Linked DNA regions of Pelodiscus sinensis. The protein of the gene in region 1 interacts with the protein of each later gene in a pairwise test. Links are inferred from orthologs where the notes say so. Each region holds a gene or a part of one and is shown on either strand. Other genes may lie near its edges.

Region 1 (6,962 bases):
CCCGGGGGCGGGGCCGCGCGTCCTGGGGCACGCCAGGGCCGGGGCCGCCCGAGCCCCTTGTGCCGTGGGCCCGGGGCTGGCGCCGCCGCCCGAGCTGCGTGCCTGGGGCCGGCACCGGCGCCGCACGCCCGCATGTGCCCCGGGGCTGGGGCCGCCCGAGCGCCGCGCACCAGGCGCCGGTGAGTGTCGCGTGCCTGGGGCCGGCGCCTCCAGTGCACCGGGGGCGGGGCCAGCCCGGGTTGTCGGCGGGCGCCTACAAATGCCCCGGCGGGCGCCATGGTGCCCGCAGGCACCGCGTTGGGGACCACTGGTCTAGACAGTACTGGGTCCTGCCGTGAGGGCAGGGGACTGGACTCAATGACCTCTCAAGGTCCCTTCCAGTCCTAGTATTCTATGGTTCTATGATTCTTAATCTCCAACTATTAGTGATTTGGATAAGACCTTCACAAGGAGCAGATTAACCCGTATCTTCTTGCTCTGGGATTTCTTAAACCTTCCTCTTTAGCATCTGGTGTTGGCCACTTTAAGAGACAAGATTCTGACCAGTGATCTGATCCAATCTAGGGATGTTAAATACTCGTTAATTGAATAGTCAAGTAACCTCATGAATTCTTATCAGTTACTCGATTATTCTATAGACCCTTGCAGTGCTTTGTTAAAAAAAAAAAAAAAAGTGCCAGTACTCCAGGGGAAAAGTTGTTGAGCTCTGACTGGAGGTGCGGGTACTACATCTGGAAATGCCGGTACTGCGTCTGGAAGTGCCGGTACTGAGTACCTGGCAGTACCATCACAAAAACACTGGACCCCGAGGGTGGGGCCAGCAGGCAGTGCACTCCAGCCCCACACCTGAGGAGCCTCCTGCCACTCGGCGCTGCTGCCTCTATAATATTTAATATAATAGAGGCAGCAGTGCAGGGTGTCAGGCAGGAGCTGGTCTATGAGGGGAGGCAGTTGAAAAACCAGCTCCCCTCGCAGACCGGCTGCCTGTCACAGAGGCAGCAGCCCGGGATGACAGCAGCCCCTGTCCAGGGGTGGGGCTGAGCTCCTGAACACAGCACAAGCTGGACTGCCTGCCCACCTGGCTCCTAATACACTTTAAATGCAGAGCCACAGCGGGGGTAGGTCCCGGATCCAACGAGAAGCAGGACTGAGCTGGCCTGCTGGCCAGCCTGCTAAAAAATTTACTGGCAAGAGGGGCTGGGAAACGTGTGTAGTTTATAGCGTTAACCGATACGCTTTTGCTTATAGTTAATCGACTACACTGTTACATCTCTAATCCAGTCCATTCCACGGAAGCATCAGCAGTGGGGCAGGGAGGGAACCGGCCATTAGAGTCCCCTCTGAATCATAGCAATTAACTGGACTGGACTAGAAAAACATGGCTGCAGGCCTTTCATTCTGATCAGGAAAGGAAAGGGTGCTGGTTAGAAGGTGCAAGAAAAATACCGCAAAAGGCACTGAAATGACACACAAGTGTTGGAGCTCCAAGAGAACAGGAAGGGCAGAGTGAAATTAGACACTGCGACCACACTTGCTAACGCAAGCGGAGTGAAGTACCTGGACAAAAGAACAAAGCTGAGAAAATCAATGGCTGACCAAGTTCCGTGTCTCTCTTACATGTTGCATGTCCATCCCTTTCTGTAGGACATTTGATTAGACTGTAGGCAAGGACCTCATTTACATGTTTACACGGCACCCCGCACAATGGGGCTCTGATCCAGACTGGGGCCACAGGAACATAAACGTGAACTAACACGTGAATAGCCATCACCCCCTACCCACATTCTCATTTGCACAACAGGTCTCTGCTCCAGCTGAAGTTTCACCAGCTGGGCAACACCCCTCTCAAATCCTGATATGGGAAAGCGGGGAAGGGAAATAGTCTGCCACCTTCACAGCCCCTATGAATTCTCTTCTGCGCTCACTTGGCTCAAGACCAACTGGGCTCCCCCACTGCCCCCCGAAGTGTCAGCAGACAGCGAAACGAGGGAAACAACAGAGCCCCCAGGGTTCCCAACGTCACTTAAAAACATCGGTAACAGTGTCCCCGCCCCCGCCACACGGGACACCTGCCCAGTCTATAGGTTGTCCCAGCCCCCCATCACAGAACCTCTAATCCCACCCCCCCACTGCCTCCCCCAGAGCCCTCAGTCCCCCCCACAGCCCCCCCATCACAGAACCCCCAATTCCACCCAATCCCCCACTGCGCCCACCAGGGCCCTCAGTCCCCCCCACAGCCCCCCATCACAGAACCCCCAATCCCGCCCCCCCACTGCCCCCACCAGGGCCCTCAGTCCCCCCCACAGCCCCCCATCACAGAACCCCCAATCCCACCCAATCCCCCACTGCGCCCACCAGGGCCCTCACTCCCCCCCACAGCCCCCCATCACAGAACCCCCAATTCCACCCAATCCCCCACTGCGCCCACCAGGGCCCTCAGTCCCCCCCACAGCCCCCCATCACAGAACCCCCAATCCCGCCCCCCCACTGCCCCCACCAGGGCCCTCACTCCCCCCCACAGCCCCCCATCACAGAACCCCCAATCCCACCCAATCCCCCACTGCGCCCACCAGGGCCCTCACTCCCCCCCACAGCCCCCCATCACAGAACCCCCAATCCCACCCAATCCCCCACTGCGCCCACCAGGGCCCTCACTCCCCCCCACAGCCCCCCATCACAGAACCCCCAATTCCACCCAATCCCCCACTGCGCCCACCAGGGCCCTCAGTCCCCCCCACAGCCCCCCATCACAGAACCCCCAATCCCACCCAATCCCCCACTGCCCCCACCAGGGCCCTCAGTCCCCCCCACAACCTCCCCATCACAGAACCCCCAATCCCACCCCCCCATTGCCCCCCCAGGGCCCTCAGTCCCCCCCACACAGAACCCTCTCCGCACCCCCCCACCAGGGCCCAGTCCCCCCACAGCCCCCGTATCACGTGACCCCTCCGCAGCCGGCCGCGCTCACCCGCCGTCGGCAGGAGCCGGGCCGCTCTCCGGCTCTGTCCCGCAAGGGCGGGTCCCCACGGCGCCTCGCCATAGCAACCAGCCACACTTCCGCTAGGGGCGGCGCTCCCGCCGGAAGTGGCCGGCTCGGCGCGGCCGCCGGCGCGAGCGAGCGGAGGTGGGCGGGGCCACGGGCGCGCGGCGAGGGGGCGGGGCCTGAGAGGCAATGGGACCCGCATGCCCCGGGATCCTGGCCAGGGCCCCTCCCCCCGCGAGGGCGTGGCCGGTCCCTAGCTCCGCCCAGCTGGGCCCCTCCCCCCGCGAGGGCGTGGCCGGTCCCTAGCTCCGCCCGTCTGGGCCCCTCCCCCCGCGAGGGCGTGGCCGGTCCTTAGCTCCGCCCAGCTGGGCCCCTCCCCCCGCGAGGGCCTGGCCGGTCCCTAGCTCCGCCCAGCTGGGCCCCTCCCCCCGCGAGGGCCTGGCCGGTCCCTAGCTCCGCCCAGCTGGGCCCCTCCCCCCGCGAGGGCCTGGCCGGTCCCTAGCTCCGCCCAGCTGGGCCCCTCCCCCGCGAGGGCGTGGCCGGTCCCTAACTCCGCCCAGCTGGGCCCCTCCCCCCGCGAGGGCCTGGCCGGTCCCTAGCTCCGCCCATCTGGGCCCCTCCCCCCGCGAGGGCGTGGCCGGTCCCTAACTCCGCCCAGCTGGGCCCCTCCCCCCCGCGAGGGCCTGGCCGGTCCCTAACTCCGTCCAGCTGGGCCCCTCCCCCCGCGAGGGCCTGGCCGGTCCCTAGCTCCGCCCAGCTGGGCCCCTCCCCCCCGCGAGGGCCTGACCGGTCCCTAGCTCCGCCCAGCTGGGCCCCTCCCCCCCGCGAGGGCGTGGCCGGTCCCTAGCTCCGCCCAGCTGGGCCCCTCCCCCTGCGAGGGCCTGACCGGTCCCTAGCTCCGCCCAGCTGGGCCCCTCCCCCCCGCGAGGGCCTGGCCGGTCCCTAGCTCCGCCCAGCTGGGCCCCTCCCCCCGCGAGGGCCTGGCCGGTCCCTAGCTCCGCCCAGCTGGGCCCCTCCCCCTTGGGCCCTGCTGTCCAGCGGGCTGCTCCAGGCTGCCCAGGCCGGTCTCCCCCCCAGCTCAGGCTGTGCCCGCAGTGCCAATGCCGCCTGCCTCCCTGGAAGGTCCCTTCCCCCCTTCCTGACACTTGGGACCAAGCCCTAGCGCAATAGGAGCCCCAGAGGAGAAGGGGGCTGGCGGGGGCGGGGGCTAGTCCCACCCCACAGGCAGCTGAGCGATCGGCCCAGCAGATGGGCTGGTAGAAGATGCTAATTGCCGTAGCCATTAGGAAGATCGCTCCCCACTCTCTCCCCCCCCCCCCCCCCGATGAGCCAGTGACTCAGCTAGCTGGTCCCTCCCGCCCTCTCACCCCACCTTCCGGACTAAATCTGATCTGTCAGTTTAACAACGGGTTCACTTTTCCATTGTATCCTTTGGTATACGTGGTCCTGCCAATTCTCGTCCAGAATTTGATCTGAGGAAGTGGGGCTGGCCCACGAACGCTCATCCCCTAATAAACCATCTTGTTAGTCTCTAAAGTGCTGCCCAGTTTCTCCTTTTGTTTTATCGACATGTTTCCTTAGTCAAAGTGCTACCAGACCATTCGCTGCTTTTTCTGCCACAGACTCACTCGGTTGCCCCCTCAAATTCCTTTCGCAGGCAGCTGCATTTGAAGGGAACCTCCTGGATCCTAGCCCAAGTCACCAGACCTCCTCCCCCATCCCAGCCCCTCAGTGCCATGACATTTCCACCCTGTCCCTTGGTGGCTTCCCTCTGCGGCTGCCTGGAGGGTGAAGGGTTTCCCTGCCGCGCAGGAGCTACGCTCGCCGGCCTTAGGGCTGGCGGCTGCTGTGTCTCTATCCTTTGCTTCGGACAGCTGCCCTAGCCTAGCCAGTCTCCCTGAGCGCTGTATGCTCTAGCCAAGAGATTTCCAAAGGCGGGGGCCCCGACAGCAGGGTATGACTGCTGGCTCCTGACCCATATTCTACCCCCCCACCCCACTGGGGCTACATAACGCTGCTCCCTGCAGCATTCCTGGGCTCACACAGGGGCTGTCTCTAGACTGGCCAGTTTTTCTGGAAAATCAGCCGCTTTTCCGGAAAAACTTGCCAGCTGTCTACACTGGCCGCTTGAATTTCCGCAAAATCACTGACTTCCTACGGTAAGAAATCAGTGCTTCTTGCGGGAATACTATGCTGCTCCCATTCGGGCAAAAGTCCCTTTTGCACAAAACTTTTGCGCAAAAGGGCCAGTGTAGACAGCTCAGATTTGTTTTCTGCAAAAAAGCCCCGATTGCGAAAATGGCGATCGGGGCTTTTTTGCAGAAAAGCGCGTCTAGATTGGCCACGGACACTTTTCCGCAAAAAGTGCTTTTGCGGAAAAGCGTCCGTGCCAATCTAGACGCTCTGTTCCAAAAATGCTTTTAACGGAAAACTTTTCCGTTAAAAGCATTTCCGGAAAATCATGCCAGTCTAGACATAGCCAGGGAGTAGCTCTCCAGCAGGCTGGCAGGCCATGGGGACCGGTGGCCCAAAGCGCAGGTAGCCAGCCACAGACACGCAGCAGAGAAGGACAAGCAGGAACAGCTCTAGAGCTGGACAGAAAAAGGAGAAGAGGCATGGGGGGGGGAACCCCAAAAGCAGAGGGGAAAGGAGACAAGAAGGGAAAGGGCAGCAAGGAAAAGCCGGGAGAGGCAGCGGCGGGCCAGGCGGGGAAGGCTGAGGCAGGCCGGGAAGGGCCAGGGGAGCTGATGCGGCTGCCCGAGTTCACCCGTTCATTTCCTGCCAGTGTCCCCGAGCCGGGCTTTGTGAAAGCCGTTCCCAAGCACGCTGGCCGGCCCAGCGCCCCGAGGCCGCACCGGTGTCTCACTGCAGCCAGGGTTAGCAGCTCACCTCCCTAGGACACGGGGTGCCAGGGAGCAGGCCTGGGCCTCGCCGCACAGCAGGCCAGAAGAACATCGAGAGTCCCCTGAGCCGTGCCAGGGCTTCCGAGGCAGCTCCCGATTGTAGCTGTGAAGAAGGCACTAGGATCCGTGCAAATTCACCAGGGAAAGCGCCCCCTTCTGGGCGACCTCGCTGATGCCTGCAGCCTGGCACCCTCCTGTCCTGGGGCTTTGGAGTTGGCCTTGACAGCAAGGCAGCCTCCCCTCCCGGGTCATGCACCCCTCGATCTGTGCTGGGGCTTGGGTGGGCCCTGACGGCAAGGCGAGGCAGCCTCCCCCCACCCCGTCCTGCAGCCCTGGCTCCTGATGGGGGTGGGGCACCGTCCCCGGGGGTGGCACGCAGGCCATTTCCAGAGAGAGAATGAGCTGGCTCTGCAGCCGGGATGGGCAAGCATTTTTCAAGAGCAGCCACTTCGCAAATTGTTACAGTCGGCCGCCCTGGAAGGGGCGGGGCCTCAGACAGAAAGGGCGGAGCCAGGACACTTCTCATGCTCCCCCATCCCCAGGTCTCGATTGGCCGGGGGGGGGGGGAGTGGCAAGGCAGCTGCAGGCCGGGTGAGTCCGGCCCCTGGAAGCTGTCTTGCCCACCCCTGCCCTACCGCCTAAGCTGAGCGCCAGCTGGCTTTTAGCCCAAGCTGTAGCGCCTCCTGCCCTGAGCTCCGGAGGTGCCCGGTTCGGGCCCGCCTGTCGGCGCTTCGCTGGCTCAGGACAGCAGCCCCCGCGGCTTCCCCAGGGGGTCTCCCCTTCCAGCCTGACGCCGCGAAGCCTTCGGGAGCCAACTCTCCACGGTGCCGAAGGCTCCCGGCTCCGTTAGGCAGCGCAGCTGGCGTTCAGCCCCCAGCATGCTTTGCAGGCTGAGTCTCGCAGGGGCGTTCTGCTGACATCACAATGGGGAGACTTCACAGCCCCTGGAGCTGGGTCCAGAGACATCCCCCAGCACAGGCTCCAGGCTCCGCCTTTCCCCACGGCCTGCCGGAGCCCCGGCCATGGCCCAGGCAGGGCCAGCGTGGGGCACAGCCCCCCACGCCTGCGGGAAAGGA
Region 2 (8,043 bases), on another chromosome or scaffold:
TCCAATTCCCTGACCGAAATCACAACTCTCTCCTTCACCGAAGCTCCCTCTCAGATTTCACAGCCTCTCTTGCACTCAAGTCCTCCACCCCGAGATACCTTCTGTACTCAATCTCTGTCCCAGACTCCACAACTCCACCATGGAAAAGTGTGGTCTTTGACTAAGGATGTTAAAGGCTGCTATCAGGCTAATCGTATAGTCGATACAAATTGTATCGACTATATGATTAGTTGATAGAACCACTCTACAGAGCTGCATGCAGCAAAGGTAGATCCAGGAGCTGGCTTGAGATTGGACTCAGCAGTCCTGTCTCATGCAGCTCCAGGAGTCGCCATCGCTACAGCTCTGTATTGTAAACTAGCTGGAGTTACCCAGCATTGCTGTGTCCCGCTCCCCACTGGCTTATTCGCTCCCCTATCCCCCAGCCAGCCCTACTTCCTGCTGGCTGGTTCCCCTCTTCCCGATCTCCCACAGCCAGCCCCGCTCCCACCGGCTGCCCCCCCAATATCCCCCAGCCAGCCCCGCTGCCCCCGACCAGATCTGTTTCCCGCCGCCCCGATCTCCCCTGGACTGCCCCGCTGCACCCCACCAACTCTGCTTCCTTCCACCGGCCACCCCCTCCCGATCTCCCCCAGCCAGCCCTGCTGCCCCAGAACTCCCCCGCCCCCCCCAGACCAGCTCTGCTTCCCATCAGCCACCCTTCCCCCGATCAGCCACGCTGCCCATGACCACCCTCAAACCAGCCCTGTTTCCCAGCCCCCCCCCCCTTTCTCCCAGCCAGGACCAGGCCCAGCCCCCCCCCCCCCACCCACCCCCATCAAATGGGGCCGCTTTTTTTATATATATAAAAAGACTACCTGGTAACTGTAGCCACAGGGGGCATGGTTGATGGCTGAGCCGTTATGCGCATGGGGGTGGGGTGAGTCCCGGATGGTGCTTTGGGGCCGCAGGCAGCGGACACGTGACCTAGGGTGGGTAGGGCTGCCCCTGCAGCACAGCACGGCAGGTTATTTTTGATTTTTACAGGTTGAGACCAGGTCCGATCGAGTCCAAAAGTACCTTAACCTTTCCTCCAGGAAAAGGTTTTATCCCATGGAAAGTTTGGTTGCAGTAGGTCTTATAGTGTCCAAGTTATTAGAGCACAAGCATACAAACATTCTCCTTTGTATATTAGATGTAGTAAGAGCCGCTGAGCTCTTACTACATTTAAAATGCAGAGGCACCACAATTATCACAAGTCGGGACTACTCTGTCCTGGATCGCATCAAGTCCAACAGTCCCTGTTTGCAGCAGATAGCCCTGGCTGCTGCAAACAGGGGTGACTTGGCGGCGGCAGCCCCTGTCCACATGGCGGGGGGTGAGGAAGGAGAAGGAGCTCCCCATTGGGATCCCTGCAGACAGGGGCTGCTTCGCAGCAGCCTCCCATATCCCCTCAGAGGGAGCTGGGGGTGGGAGGGAAGCAGACAGCTTTTAAGCTGGCTTCCCCTCCCCCTTGCTGCCTCTCTTCAAGGCAGCAAAAGAGGGGAGGTGCCATAGGGAGCACGGAGGCAGCAGGGACTTAAGTAGTCCATGCTATCCTCATGCTCCCTGCAGCGCTTCTGCTTTTGAAACGTACAAGAGCCCCAAAGGACTCTTGTACATTTTAAAGGCTGAAGCACCGCAGTAGGAACCAACAAGAGAGAGGACTGCTTCAGTGCCTGCTGCACCCCTACCCCCTCTACCCCCAGACACAGTGCTGGGGGCAGCAAATTTAAGGTATCTCCCCACCAGCACCAGCTCCTGCTTCCTCCCTTACTGCCTCTCTGACAGACTAGTCGAGTTACTACTTGACTATCCAATAAGCCTATGCGTATTGGAAAGTTGACTAGTCACTTAGACCCCAATCCTTGACCACTTACCAAGAGTGGTCCTCCCATCAAAAATTGTTGCCCATCTACGCTATAGGTACAAGTTTCTACTCACAACAGAAGAGCCACAAACTGCAGACCTCTTGGCTAGACAAGGTTTATGTTAGAAACAGGTTTCCACCTATAGCAAAACAACTGGAAGCCAAGTCAAGTTTTCCAGTGAGATTAAAAAAAAAAAAAAAAAAAAAAAAAAAGCATTCAGAAAGAAAAGATGAAAATGTGCACCATACTTATTCCCTCCACAAAACAAGTTACATTGCAAGAAATAGTCAGTACAAGAATTTGAATAGCAATGCTCTTATGGCACTTTCTCTTGGCAGATGAAGCTCTTCTGAACATGCACTAGAGATGTTAGATAGCATGGAACTGAATAGTCGTGTAAGTGTCAAATCCAGAGGTCCTGGGTTCCAGCCCCACTGCCCACGGGCTAGCTCTATGCAGTAAGCCACACCTCGGTGTGGAGAGCACGACAATATCCCAAGGAAAGCAGCTCCCCTGGGCTGCAGTGGAGCACCCCAGTAAAACCACAACCAGCATCACTGGGGGCTCAAACCCGCCCGTCTCTCTCGGGGCCCTCTTCTGCCCCGCCCGCCTGCCTCCACGAGCCCCCAGCACCCAAATCGGCCAGGTCCCCGCGACGCCTCCCGCCCCTCCCCTTCCTCCTCCGCCCGGCGCCGTCTCCCCGCCAGTCCCGGGCTGCTCCGGCCCCGCTCAGCTCAACCCCCCGCCCCGCAGGCCTCGGCTGCTGGACGCCCCCCACCGCGCACTATCTAGCTCCCGCGCGGCGGGTCGGCACCCGCGGAGCAGGCCGGCCGGTACCTGCATGCCGGGCGCGCCGGGATCCACGCCGGTGTCCAGCACGGCCAGCAGCACCCCGCGCCCGTCGTACTCCGGGTAGCGGCCGAGGAAGGCGGCGGCGCCCGTCTCTTTCTTCGGCAGGAGCCCGTGGAAGGGGAACGGCTCCTCCGCGGCGGCCGCCATGATGGCAGGGGACAGAGAGACGCGCACGGACCAGCCCCGGCAGCGGCGCCTGGGACGCACCAAGTGACGCGAGTGGGGGAGGAAGGGGCGGAAGTGGCGCATGCGCTCACCCAGCCAATCGGCGGGCGGCCTGCCCGCGCTTTCTAGAGCGCCACGGACGCACAGGCGCCACCCGCCAATTGGAGGGCGAAACGCTCTTGCGCGCGCAGGCGCGCTCCCGCCCTGGAAAGGGCGAATGCGCCTAGTCAGCCAATAAGACGACGGGACACGCGCCGGAGTGCCGTAAAGGAAACCTGCACGGAATCGTCCCGTCTTAAAGAGACAGGCACCTATTTACCACTCTACTTCACCCCCAAGCCTCCTCCTCTGGTCATTATCCCCCCCCTCCTCTTTGAATGGTGCTTCCGCGCCTTCCTGACAGCTGCATGTCACAGAACCATGGAATCCTAGAACTGGAAGGAAAAAAACCCAGGACTGTGTAGCACTTTAAAGACTAACAAGATGGTTTAATAGGGAATGAGCTTTCGTGGGCCAGACCCACTTCCTCAGTGGGTCTGGCCCACGAAAGCTCATTCCCTATTAAACCATCTTGCTAGTCTTTAAAGAGCTACACAGTCCTGGTGTTTGTTTCAGCTGCACCAGACTAACAGGGCTACATTTCTAGCACTATTCTAGAACTGGAAGGGCCCTCTGGGGAGCATTGAGTCCAGCCCCCCCGCCACCCCTACAGCAGGACCAAGCGCTGTCCAGACCATCCCTGATCGCTGTGCCGTGTCTCTGTAATGCGTTCACCCTAAGAACAGACACTTCGTGGGTCCCAGCACAGGATCAGACCCTGCTGCAATCACAGAGCTGGGGAAGGAAGTAGCCAGCCCAGAGATGCAGGTGCAGGTGCTGGGCTAAGCAGGGACGAGCCTAGTGTGGGATTGTCACATGGTTTTCAACTGGAGCATCCTGTCTGAAAGGGGACCTGGTGCTGACCAGAAGTCCAGGGCTATTGCAGGCTGCTTCAGCTCTGGCCTGCTCCCAGAAGTCGCCACCAGATCCCAGCACCCTCTAGTTGCTGGGTCAGCCAGGAACTTGGAAGCTTCAGGAGTTGCCCCATTCCCAAGTGCCAGTTCCACAGCTGCTATTGGCCAGGAACCATGGCCAGTGGGAGGTCTGGGAGAGGTGCCTGTGGGTACAAAAGCAGTATATGGTGCTTCCCTGGCTGCCTTATGCCTAGGAGCTGGAGGGACCTGGTTGTTGCTTCCTGCAAGCTTTGATAAGCAAAGACTGGCTTCCTTCTCCTCAACATTGTGTCCCAGCCTGGAGTCCCCTCCTATACCCAAATTCCCTCCCAGATACTACACCTAAATTCCTACCTGGAGCCTTCATCCCACATCCCATGCACCCAGAGCCCACTTGAGGCCATCACCCCCACACACATCACAACCCTTGCCCCAGCCCAGTGAAAAGACGTGAGGGTGGGGGAGAGAGAATGACAGAAGGAGAGGGAATGGAGTGAGTATGGCTGGGGCAGGGCATTTGCTTTTCTGTTATTAGAAAGTTGTCAATCTTAGCCTGCGCAATCATGTTCAGAAATAGCACATGCCGACCACATCTGGTGCAGGCACCTTGCCTTGTGCCCACTGGAAATGGGCCTAGGTGCCCTCTTCATGCACAGCGCACAACCCTAAGTACATCAGAAGCAGGAAGCTGGATAAACAACCAATGGGACCCTTGGACAATCAAGATGCTAAAGGAGCACTCAAAGATTATAAAGTCATAGCAGAGAAGCTAAATGAATTCTTTGCTTCAGTCTTCACAGCTGGGAGATCCCAAACCTGAGCCATTCTTTTTAGGTGAAAATTTGAGGAATTGTCCCAGATTGAGGTGTCATTAGAGGAGGTTTTGGAACAAACTGATAAACTTAACAGTAATAAGTCACTGGGACCAGATGGCATTCACCCAAGAGTTCTTAAAGAACTCAGATGGGAAATTGCACAACTATTAACTGTGATTTGTAAACTATCCTTTAAATAAGCTTTCGTACCTAATAACTGGAAGATAGCTACCGTGACGCCAATATTTAAAAAGAGCTTTAGAGATAATCCTGGCAATTACAGACTGGTAAATCTAGCATCAGTACTTGGAAAATTAGTTGAAACTATAGTAAAGAATAAAATTGTCAGACACATAGATGAACATAATTTGTTGGGGGAAAGTCAACATGGTTTCTGTAAAGGGAAATCATGCCATACTAATCTGCTAGAGTTCTTTGAGGGGATCAACAAACATGTGGACAAGGGGGACCTAATGGATATAGTATACTTAGATTTCCAGAAAGCCTTTGACAAGGTCTCTCACCAAAGGCTCTTAAGTAAAGTAAGTTGACATGGGATAAGAAAGAAGGTCCTTTCATGGATTTGTAACTGGTTAAAAGACAGGAAACAAAGGGTAGGAATAAATGGTAAGTTTTTCGAGTGGAAAAAGGTAACTAGTGGGGTCCCCGAAGGGCCTATCATGGGATCTAGCCTAGTCAACTTATTTACAAATGATCTAGAGAAAGGGATAAACAGTGAGGTGGCAAAATTTGCAGATGATAGCAAACTACTCAAGATAGTTAAGACCAAAGCAGACTGTGAAGAGTTTCAAAATGATCTCACCAATCTAAGTGATTGGGCAACAAAATGGCAAATGAAATTTAATGTTGATAAATATAAAGTAATGTACATTGGAAAAATAATCCCAACTCTATATACAATATGATGCGGACTAATTTGGCTACAACTACTCAAGCGAGAAATCTTGGAGTCATTGTGGATAGTTCTCTGAAAACATCCACTCAGTGTGCAGCAGCAGTCAAAAAAGCAAACAATGTTAGGAGTCGTTAAAAAAGGGATAGATAATAAGACAGAAAATATCTTATTGCCTCTATATAAAACCATGATATACCCACATCTTGAATACAGCGTACAGATGTGGTCGCCTCATCTTAAAAAAGATATATTGTCATTGGAAAAGGTTCAGAAAAGGGCAACAAAAATTATTAGGGGTTTGGAATAAGTCTCACATGAAGAGAGACTAAAAAGACTTGGACTTTTCATCTTAGAAAAGAGGAGATTAAGGGGGGATATGATAGAGGTCTATACAATTATGACGGATATGGAAAAAGTGAATAAAGAAAAGTTATTTACTTATTCCCACAATGTAATAACTAGGGTTTACCAAATGAAATTAATAGGCAGCAGGATTAAAACAAAGAAAAGAAAGTTTTTCTTTACTCAGCGCACAGTCAACCTATGGAACTCCTTGCCAGAGGATGCGGTGAAAGGCTAGAACTTTAAAAGGGTTCAAAAAAGAGCTAGATAGATTCATGGAGGTTAGGGTTCATTAATGGCTATTAGCCAAGATGGGAAGGAATGGTATCCTGTGCCTCTGTTTCACTGGAGGTGGGTGACAGGGAGGAGATCACGTGAGGATTACCTATTGTGATCCCTCCCATCTGGCATTGGCCAGGTGACAGGATACGGGGCTAGATGGACCTTTGATCTGATCCATTATGGCCGTTCTTATGTTCTTATGTGCACACAGATAGTTAAGTTCACAGCATCAAAGTGGCAGATAAAATTCAATGTCGGTCAATGCAAAGTAATGTACATCGGAAGACATAATCCCAACAATATATACGTAATGATGGGGTATATAGCAGTTATTACCACTCAGGATAGAGATCTTGGGTAAGTGTGGATAGTTCTCTGAAAACATCTGCTCAGTGTGCAGTGACAGTAAAAACCATAGCAGCCTGACAGAAGCCATTAGGAAAGGGATAGATAATAAGAGAAAATACCATAATGTATTAATTCATGCCATGAACACACACTGAAAATTGTGTGCATCTCAAAAAAATGTATATTAGGATTCAAAAGGTGGAGAGAAGGGCAATGAATATGATTAAAGGTCTGGAACAGCTTCCATGTAAGAAGAGATTTCAAAAGCCTGGGATTTTTCAGTTTTGAAAATGGATGATTACAGGCAGATAAGAGAGAGGTATGTAAATCCTGAGTGGTGTGAACAAAGTGAATAAAAACATGTTATTTACTCCTTCACGTAACACAAGAATAAGAGGTCACCCAATTAAATTAATAGGGAGCACATTTAAAAAAAACATAAGGAAGTACTTCTTCACACAAGGCACAATCAACCTGTAATTTTTTTTACCAGAGAATTCTGTGAAGGCCAAAACTATAACAGGGTTCAAAAAAGAATTAAATAAGTTCACGGAGGATAGGTCCATTGTTGGCTATTAGTGAAGATGATCAGACATGCAACCTTGTGTTCTGGCTGCCCCAAGCCTTTGTCTGCCAGAAATTGGGATTGAGTAGTAGAAGATGGATCACTCGATGTTTACATGTTTGTTCATTCCCTCTGAGGCACCTACCATTGGACACTGTTGGATTCTATCTGAGATGCACCATTGGTGTGATCCTGGATGGTTGTTCTTATGGACGCACCGAGGGGCTAGAGTCGCTATTTCTGATTGGAGATATCTCTGGAGGTGTCATCATGTGACATAATATTTTAGTAAAGAGTAATCTTTAATTATTGGAGACTCCCGGACAATCCTGGTAAGATGGCAACTCTACGGCTACGTCTACACTGGCCCCTTTTCCGAAAGGGGCATGCTAATTTTAAACTTCGTAATAGGGAAATCCGCGGGGGAATAGGGCTTTATTCCGGAGGATCGGGCCAGTCTAGACACTCTTTTCCGGCTTTTCTACAAGCCGGAAAAAAGCGGCGGACATCTTTATTTAAATCCCGCGGGGGATATTTAAATCCCCCGCGGATTTTCCTATTACAAAGTTTAAAATTAGCATGCCCCTTTCGGAAAAGGGGCCAGTGTAGACGTAGCCTACAAGTATTGTTACCTTTGTAAAAATTGGCTTTTGCTTCAAAAAATGAGAACTGTTTCCTGTTTGCATAGAGCAGCCTGTCATTATATTGTCATGCTCCAAGTTCTGGGGCAGTATAAAAAGCAAAAGGTCCTTCTCTTTTGCTGGCAGTCTGGGCTGGCCAGTGAAAGAGAAGGACCTCCAGCCAGAGCGCCTTAGCTGCAGCAATCAGGGTATGTCTACACTACCCCGCTAGTGCGAACTAGCGGGGTAATGTATGC

What was found. The genes of interacting proteins can lie anywhere in the genome.
Region 2: the proteins of PPP1R16A (region 1) and TPP2 interact in binary tests that used the Homo sapiens proteins (3 or more experiments, as listed by UniProt). The two-hybrid records come from large-scale screens. The link is inferred for Pelodiscus sinensis from reciprocal best matches to the Homo sapiens genes PPP1R16A and TPP2.

Annotation. Positions count from the first base shown.
Region 1 is NC_134712.1:1,125,507-1,132,468, reverse strand, and holds the start of PPP1R16A (protein phosphatase 1 regulatory subunit 16A), read right to left. Parts: upstream 3,086-6,962; 5' UTR 2,969-3,085; intron 1-2,968. Other genes in the region: uncharacterized protein LOC142826897, read left to right, coding at 6,909-6,962. UniProt on the Homo sapiens protein: Inhibits protein phosphatase 1 activity toward phosphorylase, myosin light chain and myosin substrates.
Region 2 is NC_134711.1:245,943,055-245,951,097, forward strand, and holds the start of TPP2 (tripeptidyl-peptidase 2), read right to left. Parts: upstream 3,001-8,043; 5' UTR 2,991-3,000; coding exon 2,727-2,990; intron 1-2,726. UniProt on the Homo sapiens protein: Cytosolic tripeptidyl-peptidase that releases N-terminal tripeptides from polypeptides and is a component of the proteolytic cascade acting downstream of the 26S proteasome in the ubiquitin-proteasome pathway.